Schizosaccharomyces pombe: one gene and its partners. The protein of the gene in region 2 purifies or fractionates together with the protein of the main gene of each other region. This does not show direct contact. Each region holds a gene or a part of one and is shown on either strand. Other genes may lie near its edges. The genes, in order: tra2, tti1, asa1 and tra1.

Region 1 (4,704 bases), on a different chromosome or scaffold from region 2:
ATTGTACGATAAATAAGGTAAACTCATTGTGCTAGCTTTCGTGTGAGTACGGTTGAATGTGAGTCTTCGAGGAAGAGCAGATGTAAATGATTTGGCTAATTGAAATGGTAGGACAGACATTGAGCGCTCATTCCTGTGAAGTGTAGGTGTAACAGCAAATGATTTACCACGTTTTCTACCTCGTCCATCAAGTCGATGAGCACCTTTTTCCTGCTCAGCTCCATTCGTGTCATCTAAAGGTCAATATTAAAATCACGGAATGACTTACCAGCAAAATATATAGGCCTGCGATTATGCCTGGGAACAGGGGTTGGTGCAATGGTAATTGCAGAGCCGCGTACTACATTTTGATGTGCATCGTTAGTAGTTGCAGCAGCCTGATGATCAAAATTCGAATTTTGAGGTGAATAAGATGCTACATGTGGATCATTGTCAACTCTTGTTGTGCTGTAGTTTGAGTTTGAGGATGAAACAGTTTCCTGATTACCATCATTTGCAGTTTCTAGGGAAGGATTGTGCGAAGAGATAGAACTGTTGTTATCCAGATGATGGTTCAGTTGTGTTTGATTCTCGTGGTCATGTACTTGAGGCTCAAAATCCTCAGGAATTGTTTGAAAAGATGATTCTTCAAACGAACTAGGAATGTAAAAGTCGACAGGATTATTTCTAGCATTGTTTTGTACAACGGATAAAGATCCATTGTCGATTGATGCCATTCTTCGTTTCCCAAGAGCTGGACTTAATGCTTCAGTTCTGTCTTCATTTTCTTGAGAATTTCTAACACCTGCATAACTAGGGAGAGCGGGCATGGTATTCCCGCGAAAGAAGCTTGGGCGATCGATTGCATTAGCAAATTTCCTTAGACGAAAATGGTGCCTGTGATGTTTTTCATTCTCTTGGTGTTCAGCTTCCTCAGCCTTAGTCTCTGGGGCAACTGGCCGGTGCATTTGATTACCCTGGTCTAACAAAACCCGAATTTTTCGATTGCCAACTTTGGAAGGCTCTGGAGTATCCCTTCTTCTTACAGTGTGATAAGTATATGTCATCCTAAGTTTATTATTTGTTATGACCATGTCATATCGCTTGTTATAGAAGTACAGCTTAAACAAAGTCAAGCCCAGGTTCACAGTAATTGGTGTACTCAAAACTCCAAAAAGGAGAATAGTTAACTAAAAAATAGTTAAAAAATTTATTTAAAAATATGCATACCTGTTGGTAAATGGATATCTGCGTGAGGTCCACAGGCTGCAAGCCAGTCTGAGTACAAGAACCAGAAGCCAACAACAAAGCATCTATGTAGCGCAAATTTCCCGACCCATACAATATTACTGAACATAAAATAGTCATTCCTATTATAAAAGAATCTTGAACAAAGTTAGGCTTGAAAAGAAGTTTTTCACATACAATGGTATTCAAGGAACCGGAACCGTTTGTAGAAAAACCCGATAACTGCATGATAAAATCTGTATAATATTTTCCTTCTTAAAAACCTTCTATATCGTACAAACATGTCATAGTTTATAAAGCAGTATTATATTGTATTTGATAAAAATTACACTCACGTCGATTTCAAATAGCTTCAGTGGCTTCTTGAATAGTGCAGTTTTGCGTCCTCACTATACGATTCACCTTGAACATAGCAACAACTAAACAACATCTGACAGTAATCGTTCTGTGCTTTTTTACAGCTGTGTCCAAAATCTCGTAGTGTATCAAGTTTGGTTTCAAAGATTTATTAAAAAGTATCTGCATGGACCGAACTTTGTTATGGAAGACGGTTTTGAAAAGTCGCTCAGCAGCTCTATAGAGCTACTGAAAGCTGAAAGTACAGGTATATAAATTTTTGTAGATATTTTGATTCATTTTTTTATTTTATACTAACTTTTTTTAAGAAATAGAAGAAAAAATCAAACTAACTAAAATTTTAATTACTAAGGTTTCTAGCATATCTTCAGACGCCTCGCAGCTGTATGCAGAATTAATTCCACTACTCTTGGATTTTTTACGAAATACAGAGGTGAATCTTTATAGAAATTCTTCTGTCAATGAACTCAAGATCGAAGCATTGACTTTAATACAAAGTTGCGCTCACCGTGATGAATTTAAACAATATGCGCAGTCTTGTGTGCTTTCGTTCATTAGCTTGATTAAAGCAGATAATGAAGAAGTCGCTGTTTTTTGCTTAAAAGTTATTATGGATATATTCAAAACTTTTAAGTTTTGTATAGAAAGCACTGCACAACCCTTTTTTGACTTGGTACTTGAGCTTTCTACAAACCTTCCTTATTTAATTCCCTCAATATTTGTCGAGAATCCAAAATCAAATGAAGAGGAAAATACAACCCTGGCTTTTGGTAGTTATCTGTCTACGGAAACTTCAATCATCCAACAGCGTGTCAATTCTTTAGCTATTTCTACTCAACCTTTGGAACTGGCTTCTCAAAGTTTCCGCGTGTATGTAGAGTGTCCGGTCATTATAGTTTTGATTCTTCAAGCATATCGTCAAGCTGCTTTCCCTGGTGTTCAAGCCATAATTCCCTGTTTTCTTAAGATGGTACAAATTGATGTTCCAATAGACATCGCTTCATATGCAATGATTGAAAAAGATTCAAGCATTGACTTTATTGAGTTTATAAGGAATAAATATCAGTACCGTAATTTTTTTATGGCTCAAGTAAAGACTTTATCTTTCTTGGCTTATATTTTACGAACTCATCCCAATACACTTTCTGAGAAGGATATAATACCGGACATTGTAATAAAGCTTTTGAGGCGATGCCCTTTTGATATGTGTTTTGCCCGTAAAGAACTGCTGGTTGCTACGAGACATATTCTGTCAACAAACTTAAAATCTCTTTTTGTCAAAAAGCTGGATTTTTTGTTAGATTTAAATATATTATTAGGAAATGGAGTTGGTACTCAAAAGCTGTTACGTCCCTTGGCATTTAGTACATTAGCTGACTTACTTCATCATGTACGTGACGAACTTAACGAAACGCAAATAAGAAAATCTATAATGATTTATTCGACCAATATGCATGATTTGACTCTTAGCATTGGGTTACAGACTATGGGTGCCCGGCTCATTTTAAACATGGTTGACAGAATGATTAGTCTTCCTAGCATCCCCGATGCTATATTTCTTCTTTTATCTATTTTTGATAGCTTTGTAAATAAGTTTTCGGAACTTAATGATAGTTTGGATCAGTTTTTTAAGAAAAAGTATGAAGAAGAAATTAAAGAGACAAAGTCACCGACGCGTTCTTCTCCTAGGGATTTATCTTCATTTAGCACTTCCGTCAATGATGGATCATTTCTTTTTAAAAACTTGATGTTTGGCTTACGGGCTCTTATGTATGGGCTTCGTACATGCAAGTCTCGATGCATAGAAATTGGAGGTGAACAATTTTCGGGATTCCTTACGAATATCAAGCCTTTCGAAGCTGTTACGTTTCAGAAGCTTTTTTTTGAGGTTGGCAAAGGATTCTCATATTTTCGACCTGAGCAAGTCTATTTAGAAACTTTTTTCTGCTGCGAAGAAGAAAGTTTAGATCGCCCTGCTATATCTACGCTTCCTCGTAACAAAGACGAGAAAGATTGTCTTGAAGTATTTGCTACCATTTTTATACATCTCGAGCCATCTATATTTCTTAAAGTTTTTGAAACAAACCTTCCTACTTTTTTTGATCAACTTAAAAAAAATCTCACATTATTTCACATTCCACAGTTTTTGCTTTCAAATGAGAGCACATCATCAAAATTTTTAAATATTTTACTTCGATTTCTGCTTTCCAGAATTGAGGAACTCGGATCTTCTGACATCAGGCATGGTTCTGTCTTGTTGCGTTTGTTTCGTCTTTCTTTCGTTACAGTCTCAATGTTTGCAACAGAGAATGAGCCAGTTCTTCGGCCTTATGTATCTGAAATTATTGTGAAATGTATGAAGTTGGCTCCCAATTCTGCTAATTCATTGAACTACTATTATCTATTAAGAGCGTTGTTCCGAGGAATTGGTGGGGGAAGATTTGAAAGCCTTTATAAAGAAGTAATGCCTTTGTTGCACGCTCTATTAGAGGCATTTAATTCATTGCTTATATCTGCCCGTACTCCGAAGGAGAAAGACCTTTTTACCGAACTTTGTCTTACTATTCCTGTAAGGCTTAGTCTTTTATTACCATACATGAGTTATCTAATGAGACCTCTCGTCATGTCTTTAAAAAGCAGTCAAGAATTAGTTAGTCAGGGATTACGAACCTTTGAATTATGCTTGGATAATCTCACTCCTGATTTTTTGGATCCGATAATGGCTCCTTACATAGAAGATCTAATGAATGCTTTATGGAGTCATCTACAACCTCTTCCTTATAATTATAATCACAGCCATACTGCCTTGAAAATACTTGGTAAACTTGGTGGAAGAAATAGGAAGCTTCTTGATAGAGTCCAGAGTTTAAAGAATTCGCCGGAACCGAATAACGATTTTACTTTACTTCTTTCGATAAAAGGGGTTAAACAACCACAACTTTTACATTACACCCAATATGTTGATGAGGCTGTGAATTTGCTTTCTAGCCCTTCTAGTGATCTGGAGGTTAAGCAACAAGCGTTCACTTATGTTTGCAATATTTCAAAGCTCTATGTTTATAAGAGTGACGCTACTAACAGCTTAGCCTCATCCATTCGATGTACTGCAGACAAGATTTC
Region 2 (7,166 bases):
AGCCGAGTTGAATTGGACACGGTAGCCGGTGTTAACACGGCAGTTACCTTTATCGTCCTCCCATGTGACGCGGAATTCTAAGACACGTTCGGGAATGGAAATGATTGGAAGCACACGCTTCAACTCGGGATGAACTTCAAAGAGCTTGGAGCTCTCGATGGAGCCCACAATCTCCTTGTAGGCTTGTTGAAATTCAGGTTCGTATGGGGTACTCATGGTGGGCCAAAAAAGTAAACAAAATCGAAGGTAGTGATATAGAGTGTATATCTATATAATAATGATAAGTTTAGAGAATTCGAGATATCAAAAAAAGGCGACCTCGAAAACTTTTAACAATACAAATACAGGCTGTACAATCCAAAGTTCTATACAAATCCGTATTCGACGCCTTCAACGCAAAGACTTTCAAAATTTAACTACAATCCAACAAAACTCTTACAACGTGAGTATGTAAGAGATATCGATCCGGGTTCAAAACGCTTACCAGATGTACCAGTGCAGTGTAGCAGGAGGATTCAGGGACGTGCTGGCCATGTCTGCTATATTTATACACTTAACAAGCAATAATCAACAGTCACACCAGATACCTTGTTTTTTGGGAGACCATACGTTTGCTAATGGCTGACGACTTGCAATAAACCTGATGGAAGAGCGATGGCGGAGATAACAGACGAATAGGATGTAAGTATGATGTCAAAATCTCCAATCACAATGCTCCTATATATCTCTTTTCTCTATAATTGGATAGTGGAAAAGAAGATTACTTAAGCGGAAAATTTCCGATCTGATAAGCCAACCCCCTCACAGAATTCCTTCGTCTCCTGCTCAACCAAATAAAGATAAGATAAGCATTGCTTAATGATTGGTCCGTGCAACGGCTATCACCCACCCTACTGAAAATGTGGGGAAAACGCAGCTCCTCCGGGAAAATCCATGGAATTATAGAAGATCCTTAGTGGGATGGGGTGCTTGGGGGGGGGGGAAAGATGTTTTTAGATGAAAAAAAAATGTTTTAGAGAGGTTAATGTTGTAATATAGAAGATTTTCGCTTTCTGTTGATTAACAGTTTCTATAATTTTTTTAAGAAAAAAAATCTGGAAAAGTCCAAGTCCTTTGTTAATCTAATCTCGTTCCAATCTCTCACATCCATTTAAAGGGTCTATTCTTTACTCCTTTCAGTTGCTGCCCCCTTACTGATAACAAGGATAACTAAGGATAGTACCAAAAGAAAAAAACGCTAAATACTGAAATAGGTCGAATCACACTGAAACGGGTAGGTTCTTCCAGGCAGACCAAATCGCAAATACATATCCGAAAATTCGAGTAAACGGCCTTGCCTCGGTTTTACAGTATGGACTAAACATTCGCTCATCCAAACGTATTGCGCCTTAGCAGCCATAGTCATGACTAGCTTTCAATAGAAAAAAGACAAACGAAACAGAGTCATGAAATTCGTAGCGTAGATGTAAGTTAGAAAAATTTCAAATTTCTTTATTTTTTGGTCTTCTGATAACCCACTATCCCACTATCGTTTGTCCATTTATTCCTTGCCCGATCATGTGGCTGTTTGCTTTGAATCTAAAATTGGATAGAAAATAGTTCATTCGAAAGATTAGCGAAACTACGAAACAAGGTGCGATCGTCGTTGTGCTCGGTAGCAAGATGAGTTTGTTTTTTAGTATAATTTAGGTAGCTGCCAGCCTCGTTTCGTCAACTTAGCTAAATTCGTTGAGTCTGACTCATTGAATGTAGGTAAAATGGCTCATCTAAATCGAAACAAGTTGAATCGAGTACAGCCTTAGTCAAATCAAATAATGCCAAGATGAAAAAAGTCGAGCCTTTGCCAATATAATTTTATGCGATGTAATGGAATTCTTTGCCTGATTTTTAGGCTCTTTGTATTTTCTTTTAAAACACGGAAAATTCTAAAACTGGTAACCACTTTTATTATCGTTAAATGATGGAAATCAATGGTTTTTTAGCTCCTTTTTTCGGTTGATTCAAGTGTAACAAATTGTCCAAAGAAGGGAGTGGTTCCTCTTGTGTCTCGGTTTTCCCGCTGCCTTGTTGCCCAAGCAAATCATTGAAAACAGTCTCCGACGTCTTTGCTCCGACAGGTTCCAAAACTTCATGTGTTCGGCGATATGTACGTTGAACACGTTGCTTTCCCGGAATTAACAATTCAGTAGAGAAAGTGTCAATCATTTGAGACCCTCGAACTTCTCTCTCATAATACACTGCGTCGGGATTTTGCTTGGAAAATGCGTTCCAAGTTTCTTCCACCAATGATTCATCCCCCGCATACTTTTGAGACATGTGAGTAATGGCTCGTATGATGGGTGCCGTTATCCCCATAAGCTTCAAATACACTACAATGCTCAATTTGTTAGCCACACATGCTGAAGTTACTTTTAGCATTGCCCTTTGCAAACGATGCTCACTAGAATATGTTCGAGCAACATTGAAAAGATGCCAACGTTGGCACAACGTCTCCAATCGTGGAAGCAAATCTTGGCGAATCCTAGATGTCATAAAATCATCTGCAAGGGCGCAAACTTGATATATAGTTTCTAATGCGCATTCTACTAGCAGTTCGTTATCCGTGTCAAGCTGAATAACGACCAATGGCCAAAATGTATTAATAGCAGGATAAAATGTGTTTGGCTCCTTAGCCAAAACATTGCTTCCATAGCTCAACAATTTTAACATTTCCACTCGTATCGTAATTTGTTCATGTGATAAGAATAACTGCGCCTTTTCCGTGATTTTCCTTACCATATCGACGACATCATCTTTTTGCTTTTCTCCTTGTTCGTCCATAACATTACTATTTATGTTTTCATGATCAACTGTGGTCTCACCCATATTTTCATTTTCTTTGCCCTTCTTTTCTTTTTCCTTCATTGCATGTTCGCGAAACTGTTCATGTCCACTTTTCGTTTCTTGTTGTTCATCGTGTATCATATCCTCTAGTTCATGATCATCTTTTGGAAGAGGATAATTAGGGTTCTCTAATAGTAGTTGAACGAATTCGCGAATCTTTTTACATGGCTTATTTTTATCCTCGTTCATTGCGTCCTCCTCCACCCCGACGATGAGCTTTTTCTCCTCGCCATTTATACTTTCTTGCTTTATTATGGCATAAAGAATTCCAAGCAACCCTTCTGTAAGCCGTGCGTAACCATGGTAAGCATCCAAAATCCCAAAAATAGCATCCACTACATCTCCAATGTACCGAATGCATCCTCCATCGTCATTCTTTATTACATAAGCCATCACAATTGGAAGTTGAGGTGATACGTCTAATGTGTTCAATTTGAGGGCAACTGAGTTGACCACATAGTCAATATTTTCTCTAAGTAACTCTGCTGGCGTCGAGTAGTTGCAATTTGTCGCAATTGCTTGAATACATGCCTCTGCAAACGAAGATACATAAGGAGAAGCAAACGCCAAATGTTCAAGGAGAGGATAAAAATATGCCATTAATTTTGATCGAAACTTTACTCCTTGTAAAGAAGAAATCCAGCTAATGCTGTCAATAGCAATGCAAGAACGAACACACAAAAGATTATACTTTTCCTTTTTCTGCTTATCCTCCAACGATGCTTTCGTAAAGACATTTAATTGCGATAATTGTTGCAATACTTCGAATGAATATTGCTCTAATGAATCAATATACATTTCCAAACTGTCCACCGTTTCTACGTCACTTTTCAAAAGTACCATAAATGCCCAAAATGCACGAACCGAGTTTTCATTTGTTGCTGAGGTAGCCTTAGAAAGTAAGGACTGCATAACATATTTAACATTAGGTGCCTTTGCGAAGCTTGTAACAATCTCTTGTGTTGTTCTTTCCATCTCATTTCCACCAAAAAATTCACCATGGATGTACTCATTCGAAGTACTGGATGTTAAAAGCTTCTGCGAATTGGAATCAATTCCCGATGACTTTGGTACAAGTTGGCTGAGTATACCATCCAGTAAAGGCTCCATGAGCTGCAAAGTCTTAGGAAGATGACTGGATATACTTAAGAGACTTTTCAATCGGTTCAACTCCTCCAATTTATTATCTTCTGAAGCAAAAGTGGAAACACTAGACCATGTAGTAGACCAATCATTTAGGCATTCAGTTAATACTGATTCCATAGTAATATTGTTGAATGATTCAATGAGAGAAACGAGTTTGTTCATCCCATAGTCCCTTAATTTTGGATTTTCTTTTTTATTGATCAATTTTAGCATGCTCTCTAGTAAATGAATCCTACAATCTTTTAGTGAATCTAAACAATCTCTAAATAGGATAAAGCAAAAATCAAATAAAGCATCTTGTACATGTAAGTTTTGTGAAGAACGAAGGTGAAGAATTGCCTTGACGGCATTGCTTAATTGTTGGCAGGTAGCGCGTTTCCAAGACTTTGTACGCTTCGTTGGGCCAAAAAAATGAGAATTAGAAGAAGCATCTTTTTCATCTGGCAAATCTTTTGTGTTATCGTCACTAATAGCTTTCACCACTGTATCACCTAAAATATTCAAAGAGATACACACGTTTTTAAAATACTGACAGGTTCCATTTGGCGCCAGTCCCTTTGTCAATCCCGATACTATGCCAGGAAGAAAAGTAGTAAGAAATTCTGTTGGTAAGCGATATTGCTTTGGGCATATTAGCTTTTGGACGCAACACAATGAGGCAAACTGTAATCTCCGTGAGCTATTTTTATTTGGAATAATATCCAAAGCACTAGAAAGAGCTCTCGCAAAGAGAAGATACTGTCTTTTATCGTGAAAATTAGGCTTAAAATCTGTAATAACGTTCTCAAGCGTTTCGAAAGTAATTTCTCGAACACGAAAATCTTGTTCCACAGTTTCCGAAGGAGATTTCCATCCATCTGCTATATTAAGAAGCATCAATAATAGTTGCATCGTCAACATTTCATTATGAGCTTCCCTCCAACCATGCTTGTAAAGCAAATTCACGCACTGAATGGCATACTCCACTCCTGTACTTGGGACACGATACCAGGACTTTAGTACAGGTACAATTGGAAAAAATATGTAATCGCATAAATTTAGTGGTAAATCGGCGTCTGTATTGGTCAATGCTTTTTCCAGCCCAAAGTACGCATCCTTCAACGAGTTCTTTAACCCATTGGAGTCAACAGATGAAGTTTCAGAAGATAGAGGAAGAGAATAGAAGCTTAACTTTCGAAAAGGATCTCGAATTTGTGCGAAAATACTCTGTATATGAGACATGTAGAGAAACCATGAAGTTATAGAGATGGTAGGTCATATACAAGCAAACCATTTAAAAATGCATACTTTTGCGATTGGAAATGTATATGATATTACAGTATTCTCTAATAAATAATTCAATATTATTCAAATGATTTGAATATTTAATGTCGTGCTAAATTATAGCAAGTGTTTTGACTAGATGCACAGCCAATTCCCAGTCGGTTTTCGTGAGAAACATTGAAAATATTTAGCAAAATGAGTTGCAATGATTTGACTTTGTTCTTAAAAACTTGGAAAGATATATTGCAAAAAGCTGCAAGTTTTAGGGTTACATTCAAGTTCTTACTGATGACCATTACTTTGATCTCAACTAAAATTTTAAATTAAAGAGAGAATTTTTGAAGCTATGCAATTACAATAATAATAACTTCGTAGCCTTTCAGCCTTTTAGCGTATCTGTTTACATTGAATTAAAAACTCGATAGTATTATTTTATATTTTTTAATAAACATTTTAACGTGTGTGTCGAAAGACATATATATAGTATAAATAATTTGTAGCTCAAATTACTTTGCTATGCAGACTAAGACTGGTTTAATGTGTGCAATGGAAGTAGTGGATGTATTCACTCAAATTTATAAGGGTATAACCTTTTTACTAGTCTAGTTTTGTAGTTTCAAGCTTCTAGTCCTCTATAGTCCTTAAAAAAGTCGTTAAGTTCATAAAGACGATACAACTTAAGAGGTAGCCAACTCATAAGAGATTTTCTGCTACATACCTTTAACAAGCGAGGAACACAGTAATTTCTGAATTTCTATTTGTAGTCAAAAATCACTGAATTATCAGTTTGTTTCAAAAACGAGAGGATTGTTTAAACTAATTTGCATTTTCTTAAACCAAACTTATTGTAACTTGAATAATCTCTTTAATCTATTTATTTTGAAGGTCAATGAACTCTTAGACAGATATGAAAATTGCTCAAAATAATACCGTAAGCTTTCCAAGAAACTAGATGCTGGTATTTTAAACAGTATGGATCAAAAACAAGAAAAAGTTGAAACTCATAAATGCATTCAACTGCACGACATATTTATTTCCTTCATGTTTTGATTTTATATACTTGGAATACGTTTCACCAGATCTTTAACGTTTTCTTACGCACTTCCATAAAATCTCACACCATGGTGAGACATGAAAATAACGAAATTTCAAAGTCACTTAGAACAAACTACAATTAATGAGTTGGTTGTTTAAATAATCTAATAAAAAATGTCGTATAAATTAGACCAACTCACTCGTCTTCCTGAAAACAAGAAATGTTTTGATTGTGATGCTCCAAATCCACAATGGGCATCTTGTAATTTGGGAATCTTCATTTGTTTGGATTGCAGTGGACAGCATCGTGGTTTGGGAGTCGAAAAGAGCTTTGTCCGCAGTATTACCATGGACAATTGGAGTGAACGTCAAGTGAAGATGATGGAGGTAAGCATCAGGATTGATACGGGCTATTGGAGTTTGTTGGTTATTTTACCAAAAAAAAAACATATATATATAATAATTCATTTGGCTGAGAGGGTAGCGCTATTGATCTGCGAGTTTGCTTGCCGCTATTTCGAATTTTTTCCAAGTCATTTAGTGCCTTTTTTTGACAAGAATAATGTTTAATGTTAAAAACAAGTACATGACGCGCAATTGATTATCACCTGAAGTTATAAAATGCAAGCTCACTATAATTTCATCAATGACTTGAAACAACATATATAGCCCACATTTGTTGCATGCTCCTGACTAACTTCTATACAGGTTGGTGGAAATTCTAATGCTAAAACATTCTTGTCTACAGACCCGATGTTTTCTGCTGCCGGAAGTATTCGTGAAAAAGTATGATCTTTGAACCTTCTATATTTTTTCCAGTTTACCTTATTTTGATTTTA
Region 3 (3,958 bases), on a different chromosome or scaffold from region 2:
GATGACCATTGCGAGGCGTCGCATTTTCGCGACATTAAAATGACGGGTTATGGTATTTGTGCTGTTGATTTTTGACTAACCTTTATACAGATGATGAAATTATACAAGATTTATCAAGGTACATCGAAGGAAATGATGAAATTGAGAAAGAGTCTTATAAATCCGGTTTAGATATAGTCATGAAAAATACCGATGAGAACACCGATTTCGTCGATGTTGCTACTCGAATCGTCGAATATCATAATCTTTGGAAGTCGGAGAGAATGACAATTCCTGTTGCAAAGGTTTCCATTTAGATTGAAACTGCCAAGCAACATCAAACTAACTGTAAAAATTTTGACCGTCAAAATTACGTCCTTGTACTATAAACATCACTATACATAAACAATGGCTCTTTGCCGTTATAAAACTAATGTCACTACTTAATATAGCTCAGGTTAGAATTATGTCTTTCGTACTTTCTATGCTTGCATATGAATCGCTCATCTTATTTGAGGCGATATCAAAATACTGGAAGATTAAGCATTTACTAGTCTGATATTTAATATATTTAATATATGTAATACGTTTAAAATCATTTCAATGGTTATTGATAAAAATGCGCGTATTGTAATAAGAATGAATTGAATCCTGCAAACCAAAAGTAAATGATTTCTTGAAAATGATGATGGATTAAACGTAACTGTAATGTCCTAAACTTTTGCCCTAATACAACTTCCAGAGAGATATTCTGGTGTCTTTACTAGCTAACGCAATCACGTTGCTGCCTGGATGAAAGGCCAAACTATTAATACCATCGGAGTGATATTTCAAAACCGCTAAAGGAGCTAATGTCTGGCAGCTGTAAACACGACCTCGACCATCCCATCCTGCAGTTGCTAATATCTTGTTATCACTTCGTATACGAATATTTTGTTGTCCACAATGCTTTGTCTTTCTAAATATAGGATGAGGCAGACTACCAAGATCATCAGCTATAGATGAAGGAGTAGGATGCAGACATATACAGTCATCAGCACCCGTTGAAAATAATTTGGAACCAGCGTACTCTACCGATAAAACTGGTTGAGAATGACTTTTGTAGGCGTAAACCATCTTCCAAACAGCTTTAAAATCGAGGGTAACAGTCTTTACATTTTCTAATGAACATATGTACTGAACCACATGACCGCTTTCGTAACCGGCAGCTAATAGTACATACTTCTCGTCAGTAACGGTTACTGAGGTTGACATTACTGATCCTGTTTTACCAACAGACTCTTCTGGCTGAATTCTCGTCTGTAGTCTTTTTCCGCAATCCTCTTTGTGTGTTTGAGGATGATACAATGATTCATCATCATATACATCAAGCTCTTCAAAGTTCAATGTATTGCATAAAACTACTATTTTAGATTGAGGAGAGTAAGAGAAGGGGCAAAAGGTTAGGGAATTAACAACGATATTGGAATGAATAGATATAAATGCGCTGCTCTTCTCAGTTTCAGAAGAGGCTTCAGGACCGTAATTTTGAAGTTCAGCTAGTTTTGATAATGACATAAAATTGTCGGTCATGCAATTAAAATCGATTTTCCAAGTGACGAGACGACAGTCTCTACCGTGAGTGCATAAGGCTCCTCCCTTGACTATTTGCATGCCCAATATGGTTTTTGTATGAGCTCTCCAGGCGCATTTTGGTCGCATACTAGTAAGACACCAACAAATTACAAAACCTGCCTCATCACCAGAATATAAGTATTCATTAGCGTCAAAAAGTACACTAGTGACACTGCTAGAATGACCACGTAAAACGTAAAATGGAGTAGGAACTACCATGAAAATTTAAATTAAAGCATCCACTTTGAGCAAATATTTGTAATCATCAAGCTGAGAGGATAGGGGAACAATACAAATTGAACTGTAAAACGAATTGTTGGTGGTAAGGGAATCAATTTTAATAAGCGGTATAAGACAAAATTATAACGGTGAATCCAGAAGGCATTTTTTTTTACCAAGTGATATACCATACTTGTCAAACTACATATTTACTACTAGTACGAATGAACGATAACAATAGTGCAAAAAGTAGTAGATAAGAAAATGAAATAAAATTCTACTATACCTGACATTACAAAAAAAAATCAGTCCTAAAAGAACAAATTGGTATCGTTTTAAATGATTTCATTGCTAAACATAACAAATGTCATTACTCTGAGCTTGTTCGTCTGATGACAGTAGATATTCAACAACTTGGTTAATTGATCATTCGTATCGGAGCATCAAAAAATAAACAATCAAGGTCATCAAGCTAACATTTACATACACATAACTAGCGTTTACTCATAATTGTTGAAGGCAAGGACATTAGGTGTGTCCTCAGGAATGCCATTTAATAAGTCTTTTAGGGCAAACTTCAGCATATACTTCTTCAACTCCACAGGATGATTAGCCAGCGAAGGATCGAGAGAGATAAAATAAGCAGCCAAACCGGCGACATGAGGAGAAGCCATAGAAGTACCAGAAAGGATCATAGAAGCCCTGTTAGATCCAATCCAATCAGACAAAATTAAAGAACCAGGAGCAAAGATATCAACGCAAGATCCAATATTGCTAAAAGAAGCAATTTGATCGTTCCAAGTAGAAGCACCAACAGTCATTGCATTGGAAACTCTGGCTGGAGAGGTACCGCAAGCATCCTCTGCATCATTACCAGCAGCAACGGCAAAGAAAAGTCCACCGGCAATAGCGGCATTCACAGCCAGATCAAGAGCAGTACTTGCATCACCGCCGATGGACATATTGACGACACTTGCAATTGATTCCTTGTCTTTCTTAGATTGCTTAAAGGCAAACTCGATACCTTTAATAATATCTGATACGGTACCAGTACCATCGGCTCGCATTACCTTAACGGCAACAAGTTTGGCATTCTTAGATACACCAAAGGTTTTTCCTGCAATGGTACCAGCAACGTGAGTGCCATGACCATGATCATCCACTTCGCCTTCTCCAGTGGGAATGGTGGCACCCCAAGTGGCACGGCCTTGAAAATCTTGGTGCTCAATGTTGATACCAGTATCGATAACGTATGCAGTAACACCTTCACCGGCAGTCTCATTGTATTGGTAACGAGTCATGGTAAAAAAACCGAGTTTTTTACGATGAGATACACGAGCCAAACCCCAAGGTGCAAAAGTTTGTTCAGTCATAACATGCATAACACGGTCAGGTTCAACAAGGGCAATGTCGGGGTGCTTTTGCAACTCGGCCACCAACCAAGGAGAAAAACGACCAGCATAACCAAGAAAAGCGTCTCCAATTTCAAAGGTATGCTTCATTAAAAAGGTAGATACATCCTTAAAATCTAAGGATCGTTTCTCGTGTAAATGCTCAATCCAACGATGATGTTGCTCAAGCTTCGATTTGTCAACAGAAGGTTTAAACATGACAATGTAATTATTAGACACAGCATCCACAGCGGCTGATGCCGATTCATCTAAAGGAAATGGCATAGAAGGATCATAATTGGTGGGCTGCTGAAGCGCAAAACCATCATCAGAGGGGCCCATAAAATGTTCCTCAGTAGCACCGCTTGAAAAGGTGTCATCCAGGAAAAACCTTAAAGGGTTGAAGGCGCTGGAAGGAGCCAGGTGCGCCACTAATAAGAGACCGCTAATCCAAGAAACTCTCATGATACAAAAATTGAGAACAAGAAGAATTCTACACACACGCTCACACGAAAAAAAAAGTGAAGACTTGTACTTTAATCAAGAGTAATTCAAAAAGCAGATTGAAATAAGCAATTAGCAAACTCTTTCAGCTTCAAGCAACCGCGTAGTGTCTTTGAAAAAATGAATTCGGAAAAAAAGAAAGGAATTTAGAAACCAACAAGATTTCAAGTAATGGATACAAATATAAAGCTTTGCAAAAGAAAAAATGCAACAAAGAAAAACAAAACAATGGAAATGTCAATTGCAAATCA
Region 4 (5,033 bases), on a different chromosome or scaffold from region 2:
TTTGAGACAATAGATCTTTGCAGATAATAAGATTCATCTTTGTCAGGGCACAACCTACCATTAGAGACTTGCTGTAAGTTTTTATCCATGCGATCTACAACTGCTCGGCACATTGTATCAATAGATTCCCAAAAGTCTTCATCGGGCTTCGCAGACGCAAAGAGTAATAAATACGAATTCTTGACCATTTGAAATGCTTGCTTCTTTTCTTCTAAATCGGAATTTTGATTGTTTAAAACAGCACATGAAGACATTAAAAATTTGGAGTGCTCTAAGCTAAAATTCTGAGAGGAGCCTTGGAAAGAAAACTGGATTGAAGGAAAAATATTTTCATCTTGCAAAAAATCAAAGCCAAAGGTACCAAGATATATTTGTCTATTTCGACCACCCATTTTTCCTAATATTCTCACAGCACTTTGATGCAATTGATTATTGGATTGATTAAGGCGTGAATGATTCCACAGGCATATCAGCAAATCCGGCATAATTGAGTCCAATAAAGGATCCAAAAATTCTTGAGTAAGATTATCCAAGCAAAGTTCAAATATTCGAAGCCCTTGACTAGCTATTTCAGGGGGGCCTTTTAATGCAACAATCAATGGCTTCATTAAAAAATTCATATGAGGCAACAACACACTGAGTCTAATGGGTAAAGTCAAACAAAGTTCCGCATACAGCTCTTTTTGGGATGTAGACGTAACAGTAAAAATCAATCTGTTGAAACATTCTAGCATTACTTGGAGAAGTGGTAGTATTTCCTTGTAAAGAGAATCAAATTTTCCTCCACTGATATTTCTAAACAAAGCTTTCATTAAATAAACGTAATTTAAAGGTTCAACAGCATCAGTAGTCAATTCGAGGCTAGTTGAAATGATATAGGATATATGGGGACGCAGGACTTCTGCATTTTTTTCGGGAAAAACATTCACAGTCATAAAGGCCAACTTGAATAATCGCAATAAAACAGAAACCCGAGTGGATTGGCCAGACCCTATTTTAGCTAGATTGTCACAGCAAAAAGACAGCACGATGCCCGTGCAGTTGACAGAAGTAACTTCATTAGACATCCAAAATTGGAAAATATGCAATAAAGCAAGATTATCTACTAGACACTCAAATATATTCGGAAACTCGGATTCCAAAATTTCGACGAAAACAGATGGGTCCAAGTGTAAAAATAAAGTTGCTAACATTTCTAAGAGCTCCTTCTCTTCTAAGAGTTTAGAAGGGTTTGTGGTCAACGAAGAATCAAGTTGAGAGTATGCAAGATTTTTCGAGGACTTGAATACACCGGTTTTTTCATCTGTCTGGTAATAACTGAATCCCTTTAAACTTTCCACAAGTAATCTTCGAAACAGTAAAACTTCATTAGTTGAACTAAGATGTAACTTTTCAGACCATTCCTGAGCTGTAAAAATGGAACCGTTGGCAAGAGGAATATTTCGTTGCTTTAGTCCAAACAAAACAGGCTTAATACCTAATAAGGTGTTTTTAAAAAGAAATATGCAATCTTTTAGCTTATCCAAACCTGAAGGTTGGGCAGCTCCAGTAGGGTTCTCAAACATAGGAAGATCATGTTTATTTTCTTCTATTTTAATTTGCTTTAAGTCAGCATTTTCCTGTAAAGAATCTCTCAGCTTCATAAACTCGAAATTCAGAGAAGTCAATTTTCTTAAGAGACATAAAAGTATAGCAAATAGAAGTGATCGGCTAGTGGAAAAATCTTCTAGTGCAACAATTCTTTCAACCAAGTTTAAAATAAGCTTTGTAGCCATTGCCTGAATAGCTGAAGTATAAAAGTCGTCCATCAAAATACTGAAATAAAGAAGTATGACTTTGTAAATTTGTTGTGGACTTAATTCCATACGCACATAATGAAGCATATCTGCCAGCATGCTAAAAGCCATGGGTCGTAATGAATGCTGAGAAGTGATTCCAGAACCAACTAGAATTTTGGTATCAAGTAGTTGATCTACATACGGTAGAAACCCTCTCAAATAATCCGTCGATAAGACGTGCCTTGTAGCTACCAAAAGTTCTCTTCGAGTCTGATATAATTCGGAAGGACAGTCCATGAACAATTGCAAGGTACATATTGGGATCGAGCTTTCAAACTGTTTAAGAGCAGCACCAAAACTTCTCAATAAATAGGCGAGAAAAGAGAATGATTTAATTTGCGCAGAAATAAGGTCATTGTAAAGATGATTTCGACGCAAAGAAGGGACTACACCAATAAAAACCTCTTTTTGAGATTCTGCAAGTCGACGAGCTTCGGCTTGAGGTGGAGGACGAAGTGAGATAAATTGAAGTACAAGCGGAGCAAGTAAAGGAAGCATTTTCGGAATAAGATCTTTGTATGTTTGAAATAGGAGAAAGACGATAATGGGAAATTCAGCAGTGACCTTGAAACTCGAAGAAGCTTTTGGGATCATTTTTGGACCTGCATGTTCCATTCCAATTTCAGCAGGAGATGCAGAAGATGCAGCAGACATGGGATGAGAGGATGGAGTATTCGGAGCTGATCTAGGTGGGAAAGCTTCTGAAACAACTGTGGTCATGGATTTGTAGTTTTCAACGACAATGGATAAAAATTCCTGAACATGTCCCTTAGCAAGGCTACTGTGGTCCTTAAAAAGAAGGACAACAAGCTTCAATGCCAACACTGCCATCTCTTCATTATCATTAACGACTATACGAAGAAGCACGGCAAAAGTCCGATTAACGAATGCTTCAAAACCTTTATAGGATCCAGATTTCTTGAGCAATTCAAGCAATGCAATGCGTAAACGATGTGTAGCTGCTAACGATGAAAATACAGGACGTTCCTTTTCAAGCAAAGACAACGTGTCCTCCAAAAGAGGAATGAAAGTTTCAAAATTCGTCTTTTCAGTTACCAACACATCATCCAGTGCATCTCGAATTTCAATTGCTGTGTTTGCCTTTTGCTTCGAGTCTAATCCAACATCACAAAGCCGATTATGCCAATGTTCGCATTGTGATACATCCATCAGATGCTTGGATCTCTGCGCAAGCTCTTTTTTAAATTCCAATTGCACTCGGATACGTTTTCCTAAGTATTTAACAATTACTATTGGAATGTTGTGGGATAGAGCAAGCTGCATTTCTTTCCTCTAAATCACTTTATGAATTTTACATGTTTTCGCTATTTTAATTAACGGCCTTATTATTTTGTGCGGTAGAAGTTGCTAAAATGATGAACGAGATAAAAATAGCGAGTGATACCACAAAAGTTCGTTTAGCCTCAGCTGCATAATTTGTCGTAAACAAACCATTCATTCATTAATCTGTTCATTACCATTTTTAGGCTACCTTTTAGTCAGTGATCTTTAATATATCTTACCGATTAGTAAGTTAATTGATTTCCAAAATGAGTAAAGCTATGGCGTTGCGACGGTTAATGAAGGAGTATAAGGAGTTAACGGAGAATGGGCCTGATGGTATTACTGCAGGTCCATCGAATGAGGATGATTTCTTTACTTGGGATTGCCTAATTCAAGGCCCTGATGGAACTCCATTTGAAGGTGGGTTATACCCTGCTACCTTGAAATTTCCTTCCGTAAGTCCTTTACTATAAACCTGATGGAGACTGAACATGTGATTTAAGTTGTGGATAAGTATGATGTTTCGCATGTTTTATGTATCAACTACTTATTAAAAAATACGCGCTCTTTTTCATAAATTAACATTTGTTCAGCGTAAATAAAGAAAGTAACTCAATAATCCATTCGTTTAGAATGATCATTTAAGAGAAGTGCTTTTATTCATTAGTAATTGATGAATCCTTCGATTTATTGATGAGTAGGAAGAAATTTTATTTAAAAGATCTATCTAAGTTTTTTTTTGGGGGTTTGGTTTCTTTCTTTGAATCGCATGGCAGTACATCCGGGGTGTTCAAGCGCACGTTGATACGTGCTTAGTTTTATTTTTATTGGATTCTAACTTTTTTATGTAGGATTATCCTCTTGGCCCCCCTACTTTAAAGTTTGAGTGTGAATTTTTCCATCCAAATGGTATGCCAGATACTATTAATCCAAATTTCGAGACTAACCTTCATTTCAGTTTACAAAGATGGGACGGTTTGCATTTCCATCCTACATGCACCTGGTGACGATCCAAATATGTATGAGTCGTCTTCAGAACGTTGGTCTCCTGTTCAATCTGTTGAAAAAATACTGTTATCGGTAATGTCGATGTTGGCGGAACCAAACGATGAAAGTGGTGCTAACATCGATGCGTGCAAGATGTGGAGAGAAGATCGAGAAGAATATTGTCGTGTAGTTCGACGATTGGCTCGTAAAACCTTGGGATTATAACCATGAATTGTATATTTGATTAGATTGCCATGAATAACGAACCTGATAAAATCTAGAAATAAAGTTTTGTTCCATTTTTGAACGCAACCGGTAGGCTTTTCTCTTTCTATTCCAACGTATAACGCTACATAGGTTTAATTACAAGGTTTAAACAAAAATGAAAGCACTTTTCCAATTCAATTTCTATCTGTAAATGATGGAAGATAAACATTTTGTCTATTGAGATAATCCATCTTTTAATAAACATCACTTGAACTTTCTACACAGATACATGGCAACGTACATCGCTGAAAACGAATTATATTGAGAAAACATCTAGAAATTACACAGTAAAAAACTTAACAAAATATAAGAATAACCCCAAATTATGCTCCAAAAGAAAAAAAAAATGCATCAGGTGCATAAAAATATTAGCTTCCCACAACCTACAAAAGAAAGAGGTAAATTTTTTTACAAAATAAAAATCAGAAATTATCAAATAAAACGATCATATTCCATCTTCCAATTTTTCTTCATCACCAGTGTTTTCTTCACTACCTTTAGCAATCTCAAAATCCAGAAAAAGGTCCATTACTTTTTGCTGATTTCGAATATCAGCTTCATATATAGGTGACTTCTCATAAATATTCTTAATATGAGGATCACCTCCCGCTTCCAGTAGTAATTTGCAAATTTCAGCATGTCCATTCAGTGCTGCCC

The links.
Region 1: the proteins of tti1 (region 2) and tra2 purify together in Schizosaccharomyces pombe (affinity purification with mass spectrometry, with the first as the bait; 2 studies listed by BioGRID). This does not show direct contact.
Region 3: the proteins of tti1 (region 2) and asa1 purify together in Schizosaccharomyces pombe (affinity purification with mass spectrometry, with the first as the bait; 2 studies listed by BioGRID). This does not show direct contact.
Region 4: the proteins of tti1 (region 2) and tra1 purify together in Schizosaccharomyces pombe (affinity purification with mass spectrometry; 3 studies listed by BioGRID). This does not show direct contact.

Annotation. Positions count from the first base shown.
Region 1 is NC_003424.3:257,952-262,655, forward strand, and holds the start of tra2 (phosphatidylinositol kinase-like protein Tra2), read left to right. Parts: upstream 1-1,659; 5' UTR 1,660-1,767; coding exon 1,768-1,831; intron 1,832-1,892; coding exon 1,893-4,704. Other genes in the region: plasma membrane potassium ion transmembrane transporter Trk2, read right to left, coding at 1-233, 269-1,169, 1,210-1,364, 1,405-1,510.
Region 2 is NC_003421.2:1,420,597-1,427,762, forward strand, and holds tti1 (TTT co-chaperone complex, armadillo-type fold subunit Tti1), read right to left. Parts: upstream 5,272-7,166; 5' UTR 5,251-5,271; coding exon 1,954-5,250; 3' UTR 550-1,953; downstream 1-549. Other genes in the region: NADP-specific glutamate dehydrogenase Gdh1, read right to left, coding at 1-216; SPOM_SPCC622.14 (GTPase-activating protein), read left to right, coding at 6,502-6,714, 7,036-7,113. UniProt on the Schizosaccharomyces pombe protein: Component of the TORC1 and TORC2 complexes required for the regulation of the cellular respons to changes in available nutrients.
Region 3 is NC_003424.3:5,067,550-5,071,507, reverse strand, and holds asa1 (ASTRA-associated protein 1 Asa1), read right to left. Parts: upstream 1,917-3,958; 5' UTR 1,813-1,916; coding exon 706-1,812; 3' UTR 510-705; downstream 1-509. Other genes in the region: protein Red1, read left to right, coding at 1-46, 91-296; serine protease Psp3, read right to left, coding at 2,313-3,668. UniProt on the Schizosaccharomyces pombe protein: Component of the ASTRA complex probably involved in chromatin remodeling.
Region 4 is NC_003423.3:1,902,411-1,907,443, forward strand, and holds the start of tra1 (SAGA complex, phosphatidylinositol pseudokinase subunit Tra1), read right to left. Parts: upstream 3,009-5,033; coding exon 1-3,008. Other genes in the region: ubiquitin-conjugating enzyme Ubc7, read left to right, coding at 3,389-3,577, 3,974-4,031, 4,081-4,334; ribosome biogenesis protein Yar1, read right to left, coding at 4,822-5,033. UniProt on the Schizosaccharomyces pombe protein: Essential scaffold subunit of the transcription coactivator SAGA complex. SAGA acts as a general cofactor required for essentially all RNA polymerase II transcription.